Arabidopsis thaliana: one gene and its partner. The protein of the gene in region 2 purifies or fractionates together with the protein of the main gene of each other region. This does not show direct contact. Each region holds a gene or a part of one and is shown on either strand. Other genes may lie near its edges. The genes, in order: TUA4 and SPR1.

What was found.
Region 1: the proteins of SPR1 (region 2) and TUA4 purify together in Arabidopsis thaliana (affinity purification with western blotting, with the first as the bait; one study listed by BioGRID). This does not show direct contact.

Annotation. Positions count from the first base shown.
Region 1 is NC_003070.9:1,355,282-1,360,440, forward strand, and holds TUA4 (tubulin alpha-4 chain), read right to left. Parts: upstream 3,267-5,159; 5' UTR 2,986-3,266; coding exon 2,893-2,985; intron 2,483-2,892; coding exon 1,877-2,482; intron 1,794-1,876; coding exon 1,140-1,793; 3' UTR 803-1,139; downstream 1-802. Other genes in the region: AT1G04830 (Ypt/Rab-GAP domain of gyp1p superfamily protein), read right to left, coding at 3,501-3,573, 3,846-3,970, 4,100-4,216, 4,439-4,618, 4,944-5,072, 5,157-5,159. UniProt on the Arabidopsis thaliana protein: Tubulin is the major constituent of microtubules, a cylinder consisting of laterally associated linear protofilaments composed of alpha- and beta-tubulin heterodimers.
Region 2 is NC_003071.7:1,118,772-1,122,767, forward strand, and holds SPR1 (spiral1), read left to right. Parts: upstream 1-2,015; 5' UTR 2,016-2,107; intron 2,108-2,131; exon of another isoform or gene 2,132-2,611; 5' UTR 2,612-2,626; coding exon 2,627-2,908; intron 2,909-3,001; coding exon 3,002-3,079; 3' UTR 3,080-3,284; downstream 3,285-3,996. Other genes in the region: CDC48B (cell division cycle 48B), read left to right, coding at 1-236, 323-492, 598-726, 805-895, 976-1,053, 1,132-1,590; AT2G03690 (coenzyme Q biosynthesis Coq4 family protein / ubiquinone biosynthesis Coq4 family protein), read right to left, coding at 3,351-3,845. UniProt on the Arabidopsis thaliana protein: Required for directional control of cell elongation. Stabilizes growing ends of cortical microtubules and influences their dynamic properties.

The DNA of each region.
Region 1 (5,159 bases), on a different chromosome or scaffold from region 2:
CCATTTTGTTTTCTGTTAATTAAACAGAGAAACAGTTCTCCTTTTTTGAACTTGGAGACTAGTACTTATTGCATTGGTTCCGACTTGTTCTTGTGTTAGTAGTTTCTTTAAATCTATATATTACTAAGAGCAGAAATGGTAAACAACTATCATTTTTCCCTAAGTAAAGATTAATGCTATATACCAAAAAAAAAGAAAAAAAGTAAAGGTTAATGCTTGTATGATTTTTCTAGGGGAAATTAGATAAAAATCATTGCAAAAATTTAACCACATTGTTCAGTCGGGGAAAAATAAAAATCTCAGGTTGTCGATTTTGGGTCAAAATAGTTTGTTTATGCTAGTAGGCCTTTTTTAATTTATGTGGGTCAATTATATTACGCTCCTTGTAGCCCAATGGGCAGAATAAAAGTGAGCCCATGAGTGAGGCGCGTGGTAGGCGAACTGTCAAATGAAAATATCTTACCCACTCGCATACTAAGCGCGTATAAGACTGGGAAAACTGCCGTTTTTCGCTAAAATTAATAAACTGGGCGCGTGTGGGCGTTTTTTTACTAATAAAAACGTAACTGGCCTTCTATCTGATTAACCTTGTCCGGCCTTCTTTAGTGAGCCCATTTTTGTTTTAGTTTTATGTTTATAGACCTTATAAAATATAAAGCCCATATACAGTTGTTCCAACCGCAGCAACAACTGTATCCAATTAAGGTTAGACTAATACACATTTTCTTATTCAACACGCTAATTTAATCAGATAGACTTTGATTAGATACTTTGATCAGAGAGTATCTTACTACATAAATTTATCTGCTATATCCTCACTGCCACATATTTCTCAAGAATCCCAAAGTATCATCATGCTTAGGTCAAAATGCAAAATATATAACATCTCATGAATTTTTTCCATGCCTTCAAATAACCCTTGTAGTTTTGATAGTAGTGATAAGATATTACCAGAAAGGCAGAAACGATTTAACACACAAAGGAAATAGATAATAGAGAGATAACATGGCTACGAAAAGATAGAGAAGTAGGTTTTAAAACACACACGATTAAAGACTCCCAAGAGTTTTGAGCCCATTCTCACAAGACGAGATTATAGAGAAACCCACACAAATCCAAAGTTTTTAGAAACATTCTTCTTAGTATTCCTCTCCTTCATCATCTTCATCGTCACCACCTTCAGCACCGACCTCTTCATAATCCTTCTCCAATGCTGCAAGATCCTCACGTGCCTCTGAGAATTCTCCTTCTTCCATACCCTCACCCACATACCAGTGAACGAAAGCACGTTTGGCGTACATAAGATCAAACTTGTGATCAATACGGGAGAACACCTCAGCAACACTGGTCGAGTTTGAGATCATGCAAACAGCTCTCTGGACTTTAGCAAGATCACCTCCTGGAACAACTGTTGGTGGCTGGTAGTTGATACCACACTTGAATCCAGTAGGACACCAGTCAACAAACTGAATAGTGCGCTTGGTCTTGATGGTGCCAACAGCTGCGTTTACATCCTTGGGGACAACATCACCACGGTACATCAAACAGCAAGCCATGTACTTTCCGTGACGTGGGTCACACTTAGCCATCATGGAAGCTGGCTCAAAAGCACTGTTTGTGATCTCAGCAACTGAGAGTTGCTCATGGAAGGCTTTCTCTGCGGAGATGACTGGGGCATAGGAGGAAAGCATGAAGTGGATTCTTGGGTATGGGACCAAGTTGGTTTGGAACTCAGTGACATCAACATTTAAGGCACCATCAAACCTCAGAGAAGCAGTCAAGGAAGAAATAACCTGAAAACAAAATAGGAAAATAACATTAGATGAGCCCAAGAAAATGTAACAGCAAAAAGACTGGTTGAGGCTGGCTACAATACCTGAGAGACGAGGCGGTTGAGGTTGGTGTAGGTTGGTCTCTCAATGCTTAGGGAGCGTCTGCAGATGTCATAGATAGCTTCATTGTCGAGGAGGATGGAGACATCAGTGTGTTCCAAGAGAGAGTGAGTGGAGAGGACACTGTTGTAAGGCTCAACAACGGAGGTAGAGACCTGTGGAGATGGGTAAACTGTGAAACCCAACTTGGACTTTTTCCCGTAGTCAACAGAAAGTCTCTCAAGGAGGAGAGATCCAAGACCAGATCCAGTCCCTCCACCAACAGCGTTGAAGACGAGGAATCCTTGGAGACCAGTACAGTTATCAGCAAGCTTTCTGATACGGTCTAAGCACAGGTCAACAATCTCTTTCCCAATGGTGTAATGACCACGGGCGAAATTGTTAGCTGCATCTTCTTTACCGCTGATGAGTTGTTCAGGGTGGAAAAGCTGACGGTAAGTACCAGTCCTGACCTCGTCGATCACAGTTGGCTCAAGATCAACAAAGACAGCACGTGGGACGTGCTTACCTGCACCGGTTTCACTGAAGAAGGTGTTGAAAGCATCGTCACCTCCACCAACAGTCTTGTCACTCGGCATCTGGCCATCAGGCTGTAACATTCCAGATCCAAAACATATCAATACAAACTCATACAGTATGCACTAAGCATATAGAAGCTTAAGTATATGGGAAATAGATCGATTTGCATCTTCTAAACAAACCTAGAATATTTTTTTTGTTCAACGAACAGATCTTGAATCAACCAACAAGAAATCTATGTCAAACTCAGATCTAAACAGGTATGTCAAAAATATTTCTAAAATGAGAAACGGATCTTACATAAACCACATAAAAAAATTGTAAGACATCGGAATCAAACACAGATCTAAACAATTACGTACTAAATATATACGAATTCATCAGAAATCCGGAGAACAAGGTCAATGCATGGCCAAATTATCTCAGATCTGAATTATAAAATTACGAAAAATATAGAAGAAGCACAGATCTAGATACGAACCTGAATGCCATGTTCAAGACAGTACAGCTCCCAGCAAGCATTTCCGACCTGGATACCAGCCTGACCAATGTGGATCGAAATGCACTCTCTCATTTTCGTGGAAGAAAGAAACTAGATTTCCAGGGAAGAAGACGAAGGGCGTTTATGAAGACGCTCTTTTTTGATGAAAAAAACTGAATCTAGATCTGATTTTTCTATTTCTAGGTTTTTAGTAAGGCGTTTGATGTGTATTTATAAACGAAAGTACCCATCTGTATATAACGACACGTGTAATGATGTAATTGGGTTGTTGTTAATATCACGATACTCGTGAGCTGCGTATTTTCTAATTTTGAATTTTTGCTCGTTTTGTGACCGTTTCTCTTATTTTTGAAGCTGCAAAATTCCCTTGAATTGCGTGGAACTTAACCGAAATTTAATTCGATTTGAACCTGCTAAAGACCAAAGTCAACAGTAAACCGAAATGATAAGAACTGAACCAAAATCGGAGCTTCGAGCTCCAGCAGCTGTAGTGGAGATGATTTCGGTACCACCGTATTGGTCATAAATATTCTTGTACTTTTTTTTGCCTGAAATGGTAATATCAAGCTTCTCTTTTGTGTAAATCATTACAGGGTGGAAGTGCAAGTGGTCAAGGCTCTGAGTTTTGGCATATGTACGTTTTGGAGGAGGAGAATGATTCTCCAAGAACCTCATATGGCTTCTAAGACTGAAATCGGAGGACAAGTAACAACCACATTTTGTTTGCATTCATGATTTCCGAGAAAATCTCCAAAACGATAACGTAACAAACAAACATGTCTTGCCATTTAAACAGTAAAATATAAAAACAAAACAAAAACGCTTTGTATATTGTAATGGGGGCAACTAAAAGTTGGTTTAATCAAAAGCTAGAAAAAACCAACAAAAGGATTTATACTAACATTTTGGAACGAAGTTTATTGGCTACATACAAGAGATGACTGATGTTTGTAGTTGGATAGTGTTGAAGTAACTTCATATTCGACGTGAAATCCCCAGCGATTAGCCTCCTCCTCACCAGTACCAGCATCGCACAACATATCCCCAGTAAGCTTTCCTGCAACAATACGATACAGACCGGGTCTTCTTTAATCAAGCAAATGAGTGGAACAGTAAACTAATGTGACTTCTGCATCTATCGATTTGATTTCGGGTATGCATCAAGGAGAAGATATTACGATCTTACCAGCGGACCTTCAGGGTCGCTTAAGAGTGCATCCCATATGTGAAGACTGTCAAAGAAACTAAACTCTTGTGTTAGGAGGAGAGTGATCCACCTAAATGCATAGAACTGTGGATTTACCTGTAATCAAAGAATCTATACAATGTCAGTCTCAATCTCAGAGGATCCAATCCACTGTTATTATGTTATGGATAGGAGAACAAGAATACAAAGTAAGCTGAGGGGATCATTGGAATTTATCTTCCGCACAAAGCAGATCATTAGGACTATAGTAGTAGAATGACAAATATGGTTGTTGTCACAACAAAAAGACATGAGAGAAAGAAAAAACCAATGTCTTACTTTCGTGGTGATCTCTAGATGACGCCACAGTTCCTCATCATGCTTCCTCACAAGTTGTGAGAGCCTCGTAATTGCAGATCGGATTCCCACCACACTATTGTCGAGTTGTTGACAGTAGAAGTCTCGAAATCCACTCAACAATTCAACAAAGCAAAAGAATGCATCTGCTTCAGCATGGGACTGCATATTTTGAAAAGAGTTAATATGAAATTGATTGAAGCTGAGAAGAAGAAAAACAAGGTTGAAGAAAAAAGATCATACACGAACCAATCTTCTAAGAAAATTAGACAGAGAGGTCAGATTCATACTAATAGATTACGGGGTTCTTTTTTATTTGTAACTCTGTGACACATCATTTAGTAAAACAGTCTTGAGCTTTTACTTCAAAGGAACGCATATCTTGAAATTATTGAGGGTCCAGACTAGCACTGTTACCTTAAAACTGTGTACGTTATCATTGAAAGTTGGTTAAAGGGTATCACCGAAACAAAAAGAGTCTACTTACTGAACTATCTTCATCAGGGTCGTTACGGAATACATAAAAGATAGGTGCTAAAATTTCGTTCATCCCTTGAACATATCTGATGCCTTGGTTTAACTTCGCAAATACAAGTAATATATTCTTCATAGATTCCTAGACATGTAAATCGAAATGTCACTGAGCTTTGATTAATCAAAAATAGGTGAAAATTTGCTGATGAGAACACAAAAAGGTTACCTG
Region 2 (3,996 bases):
GTGTCGATCTTCAAGCCATTGCAATATCTTGCAACGGTTATGTTGGAGCAGATTTGGAAGCTTTATGTCGTGAAGCGACAATATCTGCAAGTAAAAGATCTTCAGATTCTCTTATTCTAACATCTCAAGACTTCAAGATTGCAAAATCTGTGGTTGGTCCAAGTATAAACAGAGGCATCACAGTTGAAATCCCTAAAGTGACATGGGACGATGTTGGTGGTCTTAAAGACTTAAAGGTCAATACTTTTTAAAAATATTCATTTTGCACTTTGTTGTCCTGTTTTCTCCATTGCGATTAATGGTTTTTTTTTCCTTGTGACAGAAAAAGCTCCAGCAAGCTGTTGAATGGCCAATCAAACATTCAGCTGCATTTGTAAAAATGGGCATATCGCCAATGCGTGGGATACTTCTACATGGTCCTCCAGGTTGCTCAAAGACAACTCTTGCTAAAGCCGCTGCAAATGCTGCTCAAGCCTCCTTCTTTTCCTTAAGGTATAGATTTTGATAGATCACATTTAACAAAATCCCCCTTTGGTTGTGAAACTTGTTTAAAGAAACTTATTTTTTCTTGTGTCTTTGTGTGGGTGTGCGATGCAGCTGTGCGGAGCTATTTTCTATGTATGTTGGAGAAGGTGAAGCATTATTGCGGAATACATTTCAAAGAGCTCGACTTGCTTCTCCAAGTATAATATTCTTTGATGAAGCTGATGTCGTTGCCTGTAAAAGGTTTGTCTCTATCTCTCCCAACTCTTGCTTCGTGTTATAGACTCTTCTTAACATGTTTATTTCCTTGGGTCTTCGTAGAGGTGATGAGAGCTCAAGCAATAGTTCTACAGTTGGAGAAAGGCTTCTATCTACACTGTTAACCGAAATGGACGGTCTTGAAGAAGCAAAGGTAAACAAAAGCTCATAGGCTTTTAAAGATTTTATCTTTGTTATTGGGTTGCAATGATATTGATCGGGTTTTGGTTTAAGGGAATCCTCGTCTTGGCTGCCACAAACCGCCCGTATGCAATTGATGCTGCTCTAATGCGACCTGGTCGATTTGATCTCGTAAGTCCTCATATTGGATCTTTTGATCACACGAGTTCTGAAATAGCAAACCTCATTGCTACCCTCTTCTTGATTTAGGTGCTATACGTGCCACCGCCTGATCTAGAAGCCCGGTTTGAAATACTGCAAGTGCATACACGCAACATGACACTAGGAGACGACGTTGATCTCAGAAAAATCGCTGAAGAAACCGATCTCTTCACAGGTGCCGAGCTCGAGGGTCTATGCAGAGAAAGCGGAACTGTCTCACTTAGAGAAAACATCGCAGCAACCGCTGTCTTCAATCGCCATTTCCAAACCGCAAAAAGCTCGCTTAAACCAGCGTTAACAATCGAAGAAGTCGAAACTTATTCATCATTCAGGAAGGCGGCGAAAAGATCTGATTCGAAACCGATTCCGATTAACAAAAAGAAGGCGACTTCCACCGTCTTCGGATTCTCATGGCAATTAGGTGTTTTGAGCTTATTGTTGCTTGCTACTGGAAACTATTACTTCAACCACACTAAACATGAATTACTAGTAGCTTCTGCTACATGAGACTTGAAACAGCTCAAAGTTAAAAAAAGTTGCTAATTTTGTTTTATTCATAAATACCAAAATATCTTTTGTTTCAAAGTTCAAATTTTTAAATAATAAAACGGCTAATGATTATTAGATTCGAACAATGACAAAGATTGGCCATTACACATGAATGGCCCACGAACCTCACCACCGTCGTGAAATTTCTTTAAGCACCAATAATTTCACTGGTTATCTCTTACTAATTAATTACTTTTTACGTGTTCTAATCCAAATCAACAATAATTATCTGATATTTCTTCATAAACCGGTTTTGGAATTTAGCTGAAAGATGTGAATTTTATTTTGTCTTATTAATCAAAAAATTTGAAATCGTTTTGATTTCAATTAAACCGGAACCCTGACACTAACAAAAACCGGTCTGAGCTTATAAATAGAGTGGCTCGCTGATGACTCAGTTAGTCAGCTCCGAGTCTGCGTTTTACTTCTTCTCCTTGAGTTTCTTCTTCTAGATCTGATCGCGAATCACCAAAAGGTTTGTTTCTTAACCCCTAAAATTCCTCCAGATCGCTTTGATTTCGTTTCTCTGATGTCTTAGACGAAGTTAGATCGTAGATTCCTATGTTTTGATTCCTCGATCATGCTTCGAATTATGGTGTTTTTATCCTCAATTTTTGGAGATTTGGTTTCTACGGATTTTGTAGATTCAGGAATTTAGAAATGGTGATTCGATTTCAATGGTTTTAGATCTGATTCAGTCTTCACTCTTGTTCCACTATTTTGAAAATTGGCTAAAAACTAGGTTTCGTCGTCTAATTCTCCCGACGTTCTTCGAGAAATGTGAACTTTGAGGTGAAGATTTTGCGTTAGCATATGTGGTTTTGTATAATTGACGTTGCTACTATTCTGATTGTGAATTTTAAGCAGCATTCACAATTGAATTGAGTCTTCACTTTGTTCAGCTCTGAATCTATCATCTCTGAATGTTGGCAAGTTATAGTTTCTTATTATATTTCGGTGTTTTGGTTTGTTGTGCTAGGTTTTATTTTATACAATGGGTCGTGGAAACAGCTGTGGTGGAGGTCAAAGCTCATTGGATTATCTCTTTGGTGGTGACGCTCCTGCTCCTAAGCCAGTTCCAGCTCCTCGTCCCGCTCCTACTGAGTCTAACAACGGACCTGCACCACCAGTAACAGCTGTGACTGCAACCGCACTCACGACTGCTACTACTTCTGTTGAGCCTGCAGAGCTTAACAAGCAGATTCCTGCTGGTATCAAAACTCCTGTTAACAACTATGCCAGAGCTGAAGGACAGAACACCGGCAACTTCCTCACTGTACGTTTTCGTGTCCGTTTTACTCGAATACCCGTGAATCGAAATGGTAATGATACTCACTCACTCTCTCCCTTTCTCTGTCTATCTCTGCAGGACCGTCCTTCGACCAAAGTTCACGCAGCTCCGGGAGGAGGATCATCCTTGGATTATCTCTTCACTGGTGGCAAGTAAAATAATTGCAAAGACCTTTATCTATCCATTGTCTTTGCTGCGTTATCTCACTATGAAACTGTTTGATGTGAGCCTTTAAATGATAAGAAGTCGGTTTCTTGTCTCAACTCTTATCTGTAATATTTTGCTGAAAAAATGTTTGAATCAAAAACTTCCCAACTTGTCTCTTATTAACCATCAAATGCGAGTACAACTTTTAATCCAATCCACTACACATTTATAAGAGATTTGGCATAACTAAGTGATTCGAAAACAGATTAAACTAGAACCGTCATTTAGGATGTTGAGGAGCAGGGATGATTCCCCATTTTCTACGAACTTGCTCCAAGTCTTCACTAAAGTGACGCTCATAGTACACACACATGAGGTCAGTGCATTGTCTTCCAGCACGAACAGCCCAAGGAAGGTAATGCTTCAAGAACATTGATCTTTGCTTCTCGTTGAACCTCACAGTACCTCCAATCACAGAGAGCATACACATCGGAAGATACATTTGCTCAAACTCGATAACTTTCAAAGACGACTCGCCGATAAGATTCGTAGGAAGGCCAAACAGAGTGTGCCATAAGTCGTGAACTTCGCGTGCCCGTGTCGCTACGTAAGCCAATTCATCCGTCTCCATGAATCTTACGGGCGGACGATCATCGGGAGAGAAGTTTCTAGATCCCATGAATTTAGCATATGCAGCTCCAAATGTGTTTTCTGGTAGATCCCAAGCATGACCTACTTGCTCTGACACAACTCGAGGACGCTCCAATAATATAGCCTTCAAAGTAAAGATACCACCAAAGATCAAAACACCATTGCTTACTCAACAATATAACCAACATCAAGTAAAAATGTTAATCAATTTAACATCACTCATTGCTTACTCCAGAATTACTAAATCGAACAATTTCTAAATCAATCATTCTTAA